Linked DNA regions of Lytechinus pictus. The protein of the gene in region 1 interacts with the protein of each later gene in a pairwise test. Links are inferred from orthologs where the notes say so. Each region holds a gene or a part of one and is shown on either strand. Other genes may lie near its edges. The genes, in order: probable tRNA(His) guanylyltransferase and U1 small nuclear ribonucleoprotein A-like.

The links.
Region 2: the proteins of probable tRNA(His) guanylyltransferase (region 1) and U1 small nuclear ribonucleoprotein A-like interact in binary tests that used the Drosophila melanogaster proteins (3 or more experiments, as listed by UniProt). The link is inferred for Lytechinus pictus from reciprocal best matches to the Drosophila melanogaster genes THG and snf.

What each region holds. Positions count from the first base shown.
Region 1 is NC_087256.1:739,728-747,897, reverse strand, and holds the start of probable tRNA(His) guanylyltransferase, read right to left. Parts: upstream 3,388-8,170; 5' UTR 3,039-3,387; intron 1-3,038. UniProt on the Drosophila melanogaster protein: Adds a GMP to the 5'-end of tRNA(His) after transcription and RNase P cleavage.
Region 2 is NC_087250.1:14,947,066-14,956,183, reverse strand, and holds the start of U1 small nuclear ribonucleoprotein A-like, read left to right. Parts: upstream 1-5,444; 5' UTR 5,445-5,498; intron 5,499-5,510; exon of another isoform or gene 5,511-5,622; intron 5,623-5,766; 5' UTR 5,767-5,813; coding exon 5,814-5,874; intron 5,875-9,118. UniProt on the Drosophila melanogaster protein: Binds stem loop II of U1 snRNA. It is the first snRNP to interact with pre-mRNA. This interaction is required for the subsequent binding of U2 snRNP and the U4/U6/U5 tri-snRNP. Plays a role in regulating sex-lethal splicing.

The DNA.
Region 1 (8,170 bases):
TTGCAGCAACAATTCCCCCCTCGTATATATATATGTAGAGATCAGAAAAATTGCGAACTAGTTCGCTACAATTTGACAAGCTCTATAATATATAGAGGAGATGAGAAATTGGGAACTAGTTTGCAACAATTCGCCCTCGTGTATATGTAGAGATCGGAAAAAATTGCAAACTAGTTCACTACGGTTTGACACGTTCCAAAATATATAGAGAGGAGATGAGAAATTGCGAACTAGTTTGCAACAATTTAACGTCATGTATATGTAGAGATCCGAAAAATAGCGAAATAGTTCGCTACAATTTCCCCCTCGTATATATGTAGAGGAGATCTGGAAAATAGCGAACTAGTTCGCTACAGTTTGACACGTTCTATAATATATAGAGAGATGAGAAATTGCGAACTAGTTTGCAACAATTTAACGTCGTGTATATGTAGAGGAGATCCGAAAAATAGCGAACTAGTTCGCTACAATGCCCCCTCGTATATATATAGAGGAGATCCGGAAAATTTCCCGTTCGTGTATATGTAGAGGTCCGGAAAATAGCAAATTAGTTCGCTACAATTTCCCCCTCGTATATATGTAGAGGAGATCCGGAAAATAGCAAACTAGTTCGCTACATTTCCCCCTCGTATATATATAGAGATCCGGAAAATAGCGAACTAGTTAGCTACAATTTCCCCCTTTGTATATATAGAGGAGATCCGAAAAATTGCGAACTAGTTCGCTTCAGTTTGACACGTCGTATGATATAGACTAATACAAGGAGATTGCTACAAATTTTGACGCTTATATATAAGCGTTGAAGATCGCAATATTTGCCATCTATAAAATACTGTGCGTATGAAGGTTCCAAAAATTGGTTAATAAAAAAGTGAAAATTTTAAAATTTAAGGTTTCTTACCAGACCGATCTCATGTAGATCCCTCGATCCGTTTGTCAACAAAGCAAATACAATAGGTCTGACCCTTGAACCGCTTCGTTATGAAGTACATTCGATTACATCGCTAATTGAATGTACGTCATAACGAAGCGGTTCAAGGGTCAGACCTATTGTATTTGCTTTGTTGACAAACAAATCGAGGGATCTACACGAGATCGGTCTGGTAAGAAACCTAAAACTTTTCACTTTTTTATTAACCAATTTTTTTAACCTTCATATGCATTAGGTGTTTGAAGGTTAAAATATCAATAAAATTTACCCTCTAACTATGGATTTCCTAGGGAAATCCATCCGGGTGTCTAGGTCTCGCTTCTGCGTCTATGCCTGGAAAGAGTTAGTGTCAAGGGCAGGCTCCATGATGAAGAAGTATATGTCAAAATATTAAAAAAACATCATGGAGTCCTCGACTGCTCAAGACTAATCCCGACCTAACCCAGGGAGCTCCAGCCCGCGCAGCGGGCCGGAGCCCAGGGGCTTACAGTGTAATTCACCATACCCACGGTAGTAGCGTGAAGTATGGTCTAAATAATTATTCGAATAAATAGTTAAAACAGAAATTAAGCACTTACCACGATTATATGGATGAAGGTCTAACGAGTGGCAGCTTCCTGACATCGAGGCACAGACTGGAACCTCAAAAAACGAAAAGTTCTGTCGCGGTAACTCTCCTTCTTTCAGAATTCATAGCAAAATGGCCGTTTGAGACCGGTACCGAGGGTGTAGGGCGCATGCGCGAATTTGACAAAGTCTATATGCGCTAGTGCTATAGCTAGCCTCGGTCTCAATCGGCCATTTTGTTTTGAATTCTGAAAGAAGGAGAGCTACCGCGACAGAACTTTTCGTTTTTTGAGGTTCCAGTCTGTACCTCGATGTCAGGAAGCTGCCACTCGTTAGACCTTCATCCATATAATTGTGGTAAGTGCTTAATTTCTGTTTTAACTATTTATTCGAATAATTATTTAGACCATACTTCACGCTACTACCGTGGGTATGGTGAATTACACGGTAAGCCCCTGGGCTCCGGCCCGCTGCGCGGGCCGGAGCTCCCTGGGTTAATCCCGACCCAGGCCAGGCTCCATCATTCATGGAGAGTAAGCCTACCGGTACTTTTATTAGAAGACTGATTTTTACCCTCCAGAAGCCTCCAGGCTAATCGATCTAACGTTAGGCCTACTTGAAAATCACCCAATGCAGACTGCAGTCACTGTCCAGTATACCGCCCATTACTGGATACTATTAATATACCAAGTTGTTGTGTGTCCGGACAGGTTGTGTGTCCGGACGATCAATTTTAGAAAGTCATTTGGAAAAATTTACAAGCGAAGTTTCATAAATTTTTAGTACAAAATGTTAGGAAATATTATAAAGAACAAAATAGAAGATGATTACAATACAACTACAAGTATTGAATTCATATTTTTAGTGTAATCCAAATACAAAAAAGAAGGCTTCAAAAATATAAAGACTAAAGTGTCCGGACACCCGATCCCCCATCCTACATGTAGTACTAGTAGGATGGGGGGTCGGGTGTCCGGACACTTTATATTTTTTTTTGTCTTTGGATTACACTAGACACTAGTAAAAATATGAATTCAATAGTTGTATTATAATCATCTTCTATTTTGTTCTCTATAATATTTCCTAACACTTTGTATACCCAGTTGTTGTGTGTCCGGACAGGTTGTGTGTCCGGACGATCAATATTAGAAAGTCATTTGGAAAAAATTACAAGCGAAGTTTCATCAATTTTTAGTACAAAATGTTAGGAAATATTATAAAGAACAAAATAGAAGAGGATTACAAGTATTGAATTAATATTTTTAGTGTAATCCAAAGACAAAAAAGAAGGCTTCAAAAAGATAAACTGTCCGGACACCCAATCCCCCATCCTACTAAAAATTGATGAAACTTCGCTTGTAAATTTTAACAAATGACTTTCTAAAATTGATCGTCCGGACACACAACTGGGTATACGTAATGGAGACATCTACGGTACTCACAGACACAGTCACTCACAGCCTAACTTTAGACAGGAATAACCGTCGTTTCTGGGGATTTATTCAACAATTTCTGACATTTTACTATAATCCCCATTTACCATGTATTGGTGAGTGAGCCAACGCGGTTCAGCGGAACAACCAAAATACAGACTGAAGCTTTTGGTCTACTCACAGCCTTGCCACCCCGGGAGTTGAGCGGTCAAATTCAGATCAGCTCAGCGTCCGCAGTCAACTGCTGAGATGTGCGGGCGAGAAGAAGTTTGCACATTTATAAAACATCATCGGAATTTGTTTATCACGTTGTACGGTGTCATTAATGATAGTTAAATAGATATCGAATAAATTAGTTAGGAAGTTAGGGTGTTACTAGCTACAGAAGAAGATCTCAATTTAGTGACGTCTCGAAAATGTTTGATCCAGCAGCCGGCCTTTTGCTCAATGTGGGATAAAGATACCGTACCGGTACCAGGCTGAAGCCAGCGCACAAACCCAGCGCACAGAATATAGTGCAGCAAGCCAGCGAACAAACCCAGCGCACAGAGCTATCGCGATACAAAACGCCCAGCAACGTGTGCGTAGTCTATTAGTTGCAGACCCTAAATACAGCTTAAATTCACAAACGTCTCGAATATTGTCATAATGCGCACGGAAATGGTTTTTAGTTAAAAGGCATAGTTACCCAAACTTACCGTGATTCAAAAATATGGAATTTCCGTTATGCATTATTCCACATTAAGATTGCTTCAAATATTAGTATATGACTGATAACATTTATGACATGGCAATGGCATATGCAGTGCAGCTGAAAATAATACAAATCGAGAAGAATCAAACACGGGATCAAACAAAGTTGGTAAAACAATATCGGACAAGGATAACAGAGTTATGATATTTTAAAGATCCGCATTTCGGACAGTTCTATATGCATTTCTTTTTTAACATTCAATGGAGAAAAGTAATATCTTCTGTATACTTATTCCCACTGTTTTAATCATAAGAAATCATGATTATTCAAAGTTCCTCCTCCTAGAATTAAAAATATTGCATCAAAAATATTAAAGCATTTGTTCATTAATGGACATTATTTTGATATAAGAGACATTACATGATTAAAAAAATGATTTCATGTAAGAACATTTTATATAAGCAAGACGAAAATTGGAACACGATCGAAATCATAATCACTCAATGGATAGTCATGACTGCGTGCATTTTATTTTCACAAAATACTGCTGACTTCAATATTCATTATCAGATTTTGATGATTGCTTCCGTATTCTCCTTTGTAAATTTAACTCTTATTGATAACTATATTATTCCCAGCGCGGAGGATGAATCCATTTTATGTTTTCTAAGTTTCCTACATGTATCAATATATTTTTTAATATTCCCTTAAAAAATGCATCAATTAATGATTTTATGTGAAGGATCAGTCCCTCTCACATGGGCCTTGAACCAGGGGGGGGGGGGCAGACCCACATTACATTCTCAATAAAAATTAAATACTGAACGACCTTGATCCATGCATCCCCTGCGTTTCGAGAAATCTTAGACCCCGTCCCCCCTTTTCTGTGCACCACTGTTCACCCCTAGATCGATGGAGTGATTAATAAAGATCAATTTGGTTGATTTTCAAGACATGAAATGGTTATTTTGATTAGCGGCGAATTTATTTCCAAACCAAAGTGGAATTGTTGGAATACACATAGCACGCGCTATGTTTTGATCGACGCACCCCCCACATTTCGGGGCATCGGAGACCCCGTCCCCCTTTTCTGTGCACCAATCTTCACCTCTAGATCGATGAAGTGATTAATGAAGATCAATTGGCTTCATTTTCAAGACATAAAAAGGTGATTTCGATTAGCGGCGAATTTATTACCAAACCAAAGTGGAATTGTTGGAATACACGTATATAATACATAGCATTTTCGTCCATGCCCCCCTACCTTTCGGGGCATCGTAGACCCCGTCCCCCTTTTCTCTGCACCAATGTTCACCCCTAAATCGATGAAATGACTAATAAAGATCAATTTCGCTGATTTTCAAGACATAAAAAGGTGATTTCGATTAGCGGCGAATTTATTACCAGCCCCCGGCCACCAAAGTGGAATAGTTGGAATACACGTACATAATAAATAGCACGCCATAACAGCTCGCGCGATATTTTCGGCAATGCACCCCGACCTTTCGGGGCACCGTAGACCCCGTCCTCCTTTTCTGTGCACCAATGTTCACCCCTAGATCGATGGAGTGATTAATGAAGATCAATTTGCTTCATTTTCAAGACATAAAAAGGTGATTTCGATTAGCGGCGAATTTATTACCAAACCAAAGTGTAATTGTTGGAATACACGTATATAATACATAGCATTTTCATCCATGCCCCCCCTACCTTTCGGGGCATCGTAGACCCCGTCCCCCTTTTCTCTGCACCAATGTTCACCCCTAAATCGATGGAATGACTAATAAAGATCAATTTCGCTGATTTTCAAGACATAAAAAGGTGATTTCGATTAGCGGCGAATTTATTACCAGCCCCCGGCCACCAAAGTGGAATAGTTGGAATACACGTATAGCACGCCATAACAGCTCGCGCGATATTTTCGGCAATGCACCCCGACCTTTCGGGGCACCGTAGACCCCGTCCTCCTTTTCTGTGCACCAATGTTCACCCCTAGATCGATGGAGTGATTAATGAAGATCAATTTGCTCCATTTTCAAGACATAAAAAGGTGATTTCGATTAGCGGCGAATTTATTACCAAACCAAAGTGGAATTGTTGGAATACACGTATATAATACATAGCATTTTCGTCCATGCCCCCCCCCCCCTACCTTTCGGGGCATCGTAGACCCCGTCCCCCTTTTCTGTGCACCAATGTTCACCCCTAAATCGATGGAATGACTAATAAAGATCAATTTCGCTGATTTTCAAGACATAAAAAGGTGATTTCGATTAGCGGCGAATTTATTACCAGCCCCCGGCCACCAAAGTGGAATAGTTGGAATACACGTACATAATATATAGCACGCCATAACAGCTCGCGCGATATTTTCGGCAATGCACCCCGACCTTTCGGGGCACCGTAGACCCCGTCTTCCTTTTCTGTGCACCAATGTTCACCCCTAGATCGATGGAGTGATTAATGAAGATCAATTTGCTTCATTTTCAAGACATAAAAAGAAGATTTTGATTAGCGGCGAATTTATTACCAAACCAAAGTGGAATTGTTGGAATACACGTATATAATACATAGCATTTTCGTCCATGCACCCCGACCTTTCGGGGCATCGTAGACCCCGTCTCCCTTTTCTGTGCACCAATGTTCACCCCTAGATCGATGGAATGATTAATGAAGATCAATTTGCTCCATTTTCAAGACATAAAAAGGTGATTTCGATTAGCGGCGAATTTATTACAAAACCAAAGTGGAATTGTTGGAATACACGTATATAATACATAGCATTTTCGTCCATGCACCCCCTACCTTTCGGGGCATCGTAGACCCCGTCCCCCTTTTCTGTGCACCAATGTTCACCCCTAAATCGATGGAATGACTAATAAAGATCAATTTCGCTGATTTTTAAGACATAAAAAGAAGATTTTGATTAGCGGCGAATTTATTACCAAACCAAAGTGGAATTGTTGGAATACACGTATATAATACATAGCATTTTCGTCCATGCCCCCCCCCCTACCTTTCGGGGCATCGTAGACCCCGTCCCCCTTTTCTCTGCACCAATGTTCACCCCTAAATCGATGAAATGACTAATAAAGATCAATTTCGCTGATTTTCAAGACATAAAAAGGTGATTTCGATTAGCGGCGAATTTATTACCAGCTAGCCCCCGGCCACCAAAGTGGAATAGTTGGAATACACGTACATAATAAATAGCACGCCATAACAGCTCGCGCGATATTTTCGGCAATGCACCCCGACCTTTCGGGGCACCGTAGACCCCGTCCTCCTTTTCTGTGCACCAATGTTCACCCCTAGATCGATGGAGTGATTAATGAAGATCAATTTGCTCCATTTTCAAGACATAAAAAGGTGATTTCGATTAGCGGCGAATTTATTACCAAACCAAAGTGGAATTGTTGGAATACACGTATATAATACATAGCATTTTCGTCCATGCATGCACCCCCTACCTTTCGGGGCATCGTAGACCCCGTCCCCCTTTTCTGTGCACCAATGTTCACCCCTAAATCGATGGAATGACTAATAAAGATCAATTTCGCTGATTTTTAAGACATAAAAAGAAGATTTTGATTAGCGGCGAATTTATTACCAAACCAAAGTGGAATTGTTGGAATACACGTATATAATACACAGCATTTTCGTCCATGCCCCCCCCCCTACCTTTCGGGGCATCGTAGACCCCGTCCCCCTTTTCTCTGCATCAATGTTCACCCCTAAATCGATGAAATGACTAATAAAGATCAATTTCGCTGATTTTCAAGACATAAAAAGGTGATTTCGATTAGCGGCGAATTTATTACCAGCCCCCGGCCACCAAAGTGGAATAGTTGGAATACACGTACATAATAAATAGCACGCCATAACAGCTCGCGCGATATTTTCGGCAATGCACCCCGACCTTTCGGGGCACCGTACGTAGACCCCGTCCTCCTTTTCTGTGCACCAATGTTCACCCCTAGATCGATGGAGTGATTAATGAAGATCAATTTGCTTCATTTTCAAGACATAAAAAGGTGATTTCGATTAGCGGCGAATTTATTACCAAACCAAAGTGGAATTGTTGGAATACACGTATATAATACATAGCATTTTCATCCATGCCCCCCCTACCTTTCGGGGCATCGTAGACCCCGTCCCCCTTTTCTCTGCACCAATGTTCACCCCTAAATCGATGGAATGACTAATAAAGATCAATTTCGCTGATTTTCAAGACATAAAAAGGTGATTTCGATTAGCGGCGAATTTATTACCAGCTAGCCCCCGGCCACCAAAGTGGAATAGTTGGAATACACGTACATAATATATAGCACGCCATAACAGCTCGCGCGATATTTTCGGCAATGCACCCCGACCTTTCGGGGCACCGTAGACCCCGTCTTCCTTTTCTGTGCACCAATGTTCACCCCTAGATCGATGGAGTGATTAATGAAGATCAATTTCCTTCATTTTCAAGACATAAAAAGGTTCTTTCGATTAGCGGCGAATTTATTACCAGCCCCCGGCCACTAAAGTGGAATAGTTGGA
Region 2 (9,118 bases), on another chromosome or scaffold:
TGAGGAGGAGATGAAGTCAGTGAATATGACCTGGCCTGGGGGAGTTTCCAGAAGAAGGCCCAGAATCGTCAGATGCCAGGAGTGGAGATCCTTCGTTGCTGCCCTACATGCTAGGAGGCATCGGGCAGTAGGTAAGTAAGAAGGCTATTTCAGATGTAAAGCTTATTTTTTATTTGGGTTCATTGGGAATCTCTATTATCAGAATCACGCAGATTTGGGTGTGCGCAAACTTGGGGCACCTTATAATCTGTCAATGGTCCTGACTGTACTTCGAGGACTCTGTGATATTTTTATCATTTTTTCATTGTATTTTCATTCACGGAGCCTAGACAAGTCTCTGTTGCCTGTAGAACTTTGTACACTAAGATGGATTTCCCTAGAAAATGCTAATTTGTCCAATTTGTAAGCTTTTGTACTCTAAATGCATACAAAGGCTTAAAAAATGTTAATCGTAGGAAGGTAAAAATTTTGAAGGATCACTTCCAGTTCCCACGCTATATAACGCAATGACATGAATTTTAACTCGAGTGACGTACGTATGCAAGAAATACAGAATTGGTGCACATGCATAGCTGATTGATTGTGCTAGTACTGGTACTAGATTCCAGGCTGACATAGTGGATCGGTTTGGATGTTCTAATTTCAATGAAAAGTTTAGATGGTAAATTGGCGCTAATAAAATTTAGCATTGGTCGATCTCGCGATGCAAGAAAACTAATTCCACCTCAAAATTTGTCAGATTTTTTTTGCAAAATATATATTTAATTGATCCTTGACCAGTTGACCTTAATTTAAGCCAAATCAGGCATAGGGAATGGCTGTATTTCGGCCTTGAAGTTCAAATTCTCAGTCCTGACAGTCCTGGTTACCCCATAACCATTTAAAACACATAAAAAGGCTTGAATTAAAATTGTAATAATAAAAAAAAAAAAGTTTTATGTGTCAAATAAATTGATTCTAAAATTTTCCTTCCTTATACAGAGATGGTTAAAGGTCGTGAGGGCATCATGCCCACCCCCCCGACTTGACTGTACATGTTAATATTTGAAGTATAAAATCTGTAACAAACCCCACATCATTTTTAAATCATTTGAAATAAATTGGAAATTAATATTGAAACCATCTAGTTTTTAATGAAGATTAATAAATAGTTTATGTAGAAAAGGTTTTTATGTTTCTCCTCTTCTGTTATTTTTGCAGATGCTGTAAATTGAAATGGAAGGTGTCCTGCCATTAAATTTTCATCCCACCTGAACTGCCTTGCCTGCCTGCTCTATTTTTCATCATCGTTCGTTTCGGCTTGTATGAAGTGAATTTCACATTGATTGGTGGAGCTGCTAAGTTGGCATTACAGGGCCACGCTGGGGTATGATCCTTGGGGTTGAACATCATGACTGCTAGTTGGTCGGCGAAGGTGATGGGATCGATCAATGTCGCATGGAGTAAGATCGATACCAATCTGCTTTGCTGCATTTCGAACAATCTCATACGGATACGGATATTATTGCGACAGGAGTACTGCTCGATGTGGTCAAGCCTATTTGACAAAGCATTATGGTGTTAGTCATGTTATCAGAAACAGATTTTTTTAAATCACGGAGTTGCTTCAATTTAGTATCGATAGATATTTCAAGAACGTGTGGACTAGTGAGTTTTTCATCAAGAATTTCACGCAATTTATTTTCGTGCTTATCCATGTCATCATTGAGTTTTTGTCTCTCGCGTTCCATTGCCACGGCCGCCGCTCTTTGAACGACTGTATCAATATGATTTAGGTATGCTGGGCTTTGTTTAGATCCAGTTAATGATGAATCAGAGGATTGTGTACATGCGTTAGCCGAGTGCAAGCGGCCTCTTGATCTGGTGGATATCTTAGACATGATGTTAGAGATTACGTAATGATATAATTGAAAAGTGGGATGGGCTGTGCATCTGCCAACTCACCAGTCAACCAATTAGAGACGGCCTTCCAAAGTGACACAGCATGAAAATATCAATATGGGACTGGTCTAGTCAACACATAGATCCTGAAAAAACCATGGAGACCGCAGACGCAAAATGACTTCCATACATAAAGATATGATGCACAATTTCCAGTGGGTTCAAAACACTGAACACATGCTATGCTGATACACAGACTATCATAAGAACTTTATCAAGCATAGGAAATCTGGTATGAAATCTCTCAGCTCACATAAAAAGCCAACGTAGCTACATGTAGGGAAGAAAATGAAAATGCGTAATTGCTGAGAAATGAGCAAAATAAGCATGTAATTCTATCAAATGTCAGGTATTTTTCGAATCGATTATAATACACTGTCCCACATATGCTTTTCTGTGTTTATAGCGATCATCAGAATTATCGATTTTAAGTTTAAAAATTCATGATTTTACAAAGATACAAGTTTACATTAATGTACCAGATGTAGATTATGTACAATATATTGACAATTAACTTTGATTTTATAGATTTTCTCAAGAAATAATTGTTTGCTGCAACTACTGTCTTTTCCTTCTAAGTGATAGTGTAATACAACAGTTCCACAAACTATTTTCATCAGACTTATTAATGTATGATTCTTTCACCCAAATGCAAGCTTCCATAAATCATGAAAACCTTGCAACTCAGGTATTTTTTTAAAATACAGTATATTTTTTCCTACATTACATAGTTGCCTTAAGTTAATAGCCCACCTCTAGTAGTAACTATCTTAAAATGAGTTCGAACAGAATCCAACAGAATTACCAGCAAAGTGTATATATAAAAGATGTGTGCCAAATAGCTCGGGAAGAAAATGTGTAATTGCTGAGAAATGAGCAAAATAAGCATGTAATTCTATCAAATGTCGAGTATTTTTCGAATCAATCATAATACACTGTCCAGTCCCTCATATGCTTTTCTGTGTTAGTGATCATCAGAATTATTGATTTTAAAGATAAATTCCAGTTTTGGTAACGATCTCAAAATGACTTTTTACAGAATCTAATATAATGACCACCCAAGTGTTTGTTTGTATGAATAAAAAATATGTGCCAAAGGATTCTGGAAGAAATTGTGTAATTGCTGAGAAATAAGCAAAATAAGCGCGGATTCGGTCACTTCCGTCGGGTCTTTATTCCAGCAATAATAATACACTGTCCCACGTGTGCCTATCTGTGTTGGTGATCTTCAGTGTGAACATTTTTCAGCGTAGATTTCAGGATTTCACAAAGTTCAGTTTATGTAACTGTACCAGATCTAGATCCTCGATGATATACTGCCAATTAAGCCTTGTTTTACAGACTTTCTCATGAAATCAGTGTTTACTGCAACTACTGGAACTTCTCTTTAAGTTCAAAATTCATGATTTTACAAAGATACAAGTTTACATTAATTTACCAGGGCCCCGTCTTACAAAGAGTTATGATTGATCCGATCAATCGCAAATATGGACGGTCAGCAACGTTAACATCTATTAAGCATGTTTGTTCAAAATATTTTCTAGCTATGATGTATGTTCATGCATTCATTGTTTTCTCAAAAATTTGCTGCGCTTCTCTTTGCATACAAAGGACATTGTGCAAATTTTTCGTAGAAAAAAAATTATGACACTGATGGGTTTCCTTAGAGTTATGATTGATCAGATCAATCGTAACTCTTTGTAAGACGGGGCCCAGATCTAGATTATGTACAATATTTTGACAATTAACCATAATTTAAAAGACTTTCCGAAGAATTAATTGTTTGCTGCAACTACTCTCTTTTACCCCTAAGTGATAGTGTAATACAACCCAAACTTTTCATAAGAATTAATGTACATGTATGATTCTTTCACCCAAATGCGAGCTTCCATAAATCATGAAATTATTCCAACTCAGGTATTTTTTAAAAAATACATTACATAGTTGTCTAAAGTTGAAGGTATATTTAATTACAATTTCAACGAAAAAGCTTTATTCTTGGAAATCATTATGCCTCTGTTATGTATTAATGTGTATTTATACATTTTCAATTGTATGTATTGGTATAACAAACATTGTAATTTCATTCCTTTGACCCTAATACTGCATTTTCATAGAAAAGTGGGGTTTTTAAAAAATCTATTTAGAGTTTTCAACTTTTTGGTTTTCCTTTTTTTTGCTGGTAATATCATGTTATGCAACTTTTATTTATTAATAGAATATTTGCCACGATTTCGTAATTGAAATGCGTACATGTATTTGATTTCGTTTTCCATTTTTGTATATATTCTTTTTCGGGGGGGGGGGGGGGGGGTCATGTTCTTGAGACTGAGACAAGTTATGCAAGGCCCTGGCATGGAGGATCATTATATTGTTACTGGGAATGCTAGACATTTTCAGACCACCTCAGTATTCACCAAATATAGATAATCCTCAATGACAAGGTCTTTGAAGTGATGTGTGTATGTACATTGCATGTAGAATTTAATGTTAAGGTCATTATCACGTCAGAATACGTTCAGATATCATAGTTGACTCCAAAAGACGTCATATTCATTTCTATATGCGACGTCAATATGACGTCTATTACTAGTCAGCAATATGTTGCAAAGTCGTCATTCAGACGTCGTAGATGACTTATAAAGACGTCATAATTACATCACTATGACGTCTGAAACTGGTCAGGAATACGTTGCAAAATTGTCATTAAGACGTCGTAGATGACTTTTAAAGACGTCATAATTACATCAATATGACGTCTAAAACCGGTCAGGAACACGTTGCACGGATGTCATTAAGACGTCGTGGTTGACTCTCGAAGACGTCATAATCACGTCAATACACGACGTCAATCTGACCCTTGATACTGGTCAGGAAAACGTTGTAAAAACGTTGCAAAGACGTCATTAAGACGTCGTAGTCACTCTTGGAGACGTCATAATGACGTCAATATACGACGTCATAATGACGTTATTCGCGGGTGCAAGATCCCGTGATTAAGACGTCATGTTACGACGTCAATATGACGTGAGACTCGTCGTAAAAATGACGTAAATATAACGTCATTTTTACCAGTTTCTGCTATCAGGGAAGGGCCAACTTGACTGACCCACTATACGGGCCCATATAGTATCAAAATAATGTTAATTCCACATGTTCAGGGAGGAATTAATCTTTGATTCACTTGACAATGAAGTGAAAATTCAAATATTCAGTATTTCATATAATAAAATACAAAAGAAATAGTGATTACTGGATGATAAATAAATAAAATAAAAATAAAATGCACACTTTATCAGCCTAGAACGTTTTGCCCGCTCGCTTTTAGGGCTGTGTAAGATTTTCAGTTTATTTGCAAAGAAAATTACTTTATAACATTCTAAATATTTTTCGCCCCCCCCCCCCTCCTCACCGGAAAATAAAACATTAGACCCCCGCGCCAACTTTCGGTTATGTACTAGCAATCATTTTAGTAATCAAATTGGCAATAAAATTAGGATAAATATTTCCGCTTATTTTATTTAATTACACTGTTGGCGTTTATGTGTTGTGAGAGGGTATGTGTTGTCACTTGAGAATCGTTCAAAATCATACTTTTTAATCATTCATCCATCTTGATTTGTATATTCTTTCAATTGAATTATATTTATTGCTATCATACCTGGATGTTTCGATCCCAAAGTAATATATGTTTTTGTATTTTGAGTATTTGAAAATAATCGTATTTATTACGTGGTCCCAGATATACTATTTCGTGTAATTTTGACTGGGCGAGATTTCGGGTAATTTTTTTCTGACTCGTCTCAACTCTTAATTTTTCTTCAGTCAGATTCTAACCTACAGCAACTGAAAAAGTGAGAATCCAAGTCGAGATGGCTGCTCCAAATCACACAATTTACATCAACAACCTTAATGAAAAGATAAAGAAAGATGGTAAGTTAAAAAAGTCATGCTCGTTGACGTTAGTATACAAATAATGCATGCAGCCGAGTGCGTTAGTGGAAATGCAGAGCACGCGAGGTTTCTTTAGATAGGAGTCGCACTGTGCACGAGCCGCTTGCGGCGAGTGCCCAGTGTGCTCCATCTGAAGAAACCGAGCTTTCTCTGCATTTACTTTTACGCACGACAGAGCAAGTGCATTATTTGTTTTATAAAATAGCAACACAGAAACAATTTTTTAAAAAGTTACAGTACAGTTTTGTAGGACTTTACCGCACTGGTTTGCTCGAGCGTGCAATGTCAATTTTCGTTGCACACCTTTTGCACTACCGTGCAGTGCACAAAAAAAGTTGGATGTCATGTGACGCGTATTGACCAATCGCGATGCTTGAAATAATACAGCTATTTTATAAAAATTCTTAAAGTATACATCCAAAGAAAATTCACGAAAGTGATGATTATAGACAAATTATATATGAATGGAAAGGTCTTGTCTTTTTATACACAAATATGTCACTAAAAAGTCTTATTGATGTCGTGGAAATGCAAGAAATGAAATTATTAGAGACCCTTCTCAGCCCCCCATCCGCCCCCAGACACACACTAACGCGATGAAATACAGTCGAGAATAATGACGTCACATGATGATCGACTCACTCAGCCGCTCTGCCAGCAGTACACTGAGTGATAGCTGATTCACCTTCCTGGTCTCTATTTTTCTTCGAATTTACCGTTTTCTTCATGTATTGTGATATCCGAATTCTGTTTTCGACAACTTCAGACTATTAAGGGAACCAGAACTGTGTTATTTTGCCCGGTTTTTATTGAATTGTGAACTGGAAAGATCGATTTTGTCCACTCGACAGTCTACGTTGTGTTGCTCTACTAACTTAAACTATTGAAAAACTCCAAGCTGCACGGTCCCATTCACTTGCTCCCGATGCATGTTGCACTGCAGGTTACGCTGTTTGATCCAGTCAAAAGTCAAGGTAAGCATGTTTGGAAACTGTACTTGTTCTGACGATGCATTCAGGTCAGATGACAGATACAGATCTGATATAAGTTTAGAATCATGCATTTTGGCGTATACTATTAAAATTAAAAAGTTTTTTTTATAGAAATAATGTTTTTGCACAATTCCAGCAGATTTTTTCTTCAGATTTCTAAAACTGGTCAGGACTCGGGCAGGCGATTAAATTATTTAGGATCACTGGTATGGACCATGGCTGAAAATCTGTTGTTTCAGAGGAATGTTTAAGTTTTTATTATACACAGAAATATATCACCATGATGCCGATGTCATGAAGCCAGACAAATTTTCAGCAGTGATTACCCTGATTCCTGGCCAAAATCACTCACACGTATTGCGAGGTTAGTATTAGTATACTAACCTCGCACCACGAACCGCGTTTTTGGCAGTGGATTTCTAACTAGTGGGTCGCGCGTGCTGGGATCTCACTTCTTGGGTCCACAACACACGACTTCTATGGCTTGAATTTTCTTTGCGCGGCGGCATGTAATGAACCCTTGGGTGGGCCATAATTAGAGTCTGGTGTTTCTTTCTGATTAGAGTGTTGCTGCATATATGCATGCGTAATGCCTTCAACAATGAAGATAAATGCAATCTTTGTAATGACACAGAGACTCATAGAGCACCGTACCTCAAATGATGTTCGTGTAGTCTCCACTTCACTACTGCTACAGCCTACACTACGCTACACACCTACCTGGGTAGGTGTGGCGTACATGTACGGTAGTGAAGTGGAGTGGGGCTTACACAAACATCACTTGAGGTAGAGCATCAGTGTTCTGAGTGGAACTTTTCAGGTGTCTAAACCTACTATCATTTGTTGTTGACCGGGAATTACATGCCACCGCACGTCATCAATCATCACGATAATTGAATTCATACTTTGATTTGATTATTTAAACTATTTCTTTTTTTCTCTCTTCTACACACAGATCTGCACACTTGCTGACTCTGGTGACTTCTGGTCTCTGCTTGCTACCTCAATCTGGGAGATTCCATCATGTCCTTTTACTATGATATGGATATAGCCATTTTTTTCTTCACTCTTTCCAGGACCTACGGTTTGCAAGTTGTGGAATGATAATGATACAAAAGAAAAATTTTCTTTATCAATCTTGGAAACAATTTTGAGCACAGTTTTGGAGAGAACTAAGAAATTTGACTTGGACAGGAATACAGCTTGTCAAAAATAATAACACACAATTTAAAACGAAAGAACAATTTTAATGTTACTAGGGCATTTTGCGAGAAATGTCTCAATCACACGTCCCAAATCAAGGGTAAGTCCTTTGATTAAACATGTAGTTGAATTGCGATTGCAACTCGACCTTATTACGCTTGAATTTGAATTTAAGACTTACGCTTGATTTGCAATTGAACATAAGTTTCTTGCAGTGCCCCATAATTATGTTTTGTTATCAGATATTTAACGTGCTGATTTTTCTCGAAAGGTATAATATATTTGTCCTTTTAAACAGTATTTGAATATGGGTACGCCTTTTATTTGTTTTCCACAATATTTATTGCATGTATGAACAGAAGTGAAATATTTATTGTGAAGCACTGTGAATGTTGTGTGCTGTTGTGTGATGGTTCATCATTTTTGTTATAAGACTGAAAGCCTGGTGGATGTGAGGAAGTGGCCTGGATGAAAGAAAAGTGAACATGTGTCCAATTACTGATTTGCATATTCTATTAAGACAATTTTGGTTCTGAAAATTTTTTGCTATGCATTCCCTACATTAAGAGTAAAGGAGAAGTCCATGCAATCAAAAATTCATTTGAATTTAAAGAAAAATAACAAGATATTGCAGGAAATTTCGTAAAAACTTTGATTCAAATCTGCAAAGAATAAAAAACAAAATGCCACAAAAAATAGAAATGAATGTGATGTGGGTGACAACTCTAATTTGCATATCATTGTTTTGTGTATATGACTGTTTTTAGTAAAAACAACAAGGGAAATTACTCTATTCAAATAATTTTTAGTTGATGTGGACTTGACTTTTAACTCTACCCCTCCCATCCCAAATAAGAGTAGAAATGATCTAATCAAGAACTTGAAAATCAAAAGCAGCAATTAAGAAGCAAGATTTGATAAATACAGGTCTGAATAGAATTTCACAAGAAAATAAAAAGAGAAAAAAAGATGGGTAGGGACGGGGAAGGAATAAAAAAAAATGTCCAGAAAAAAATACGAGTTTCGAA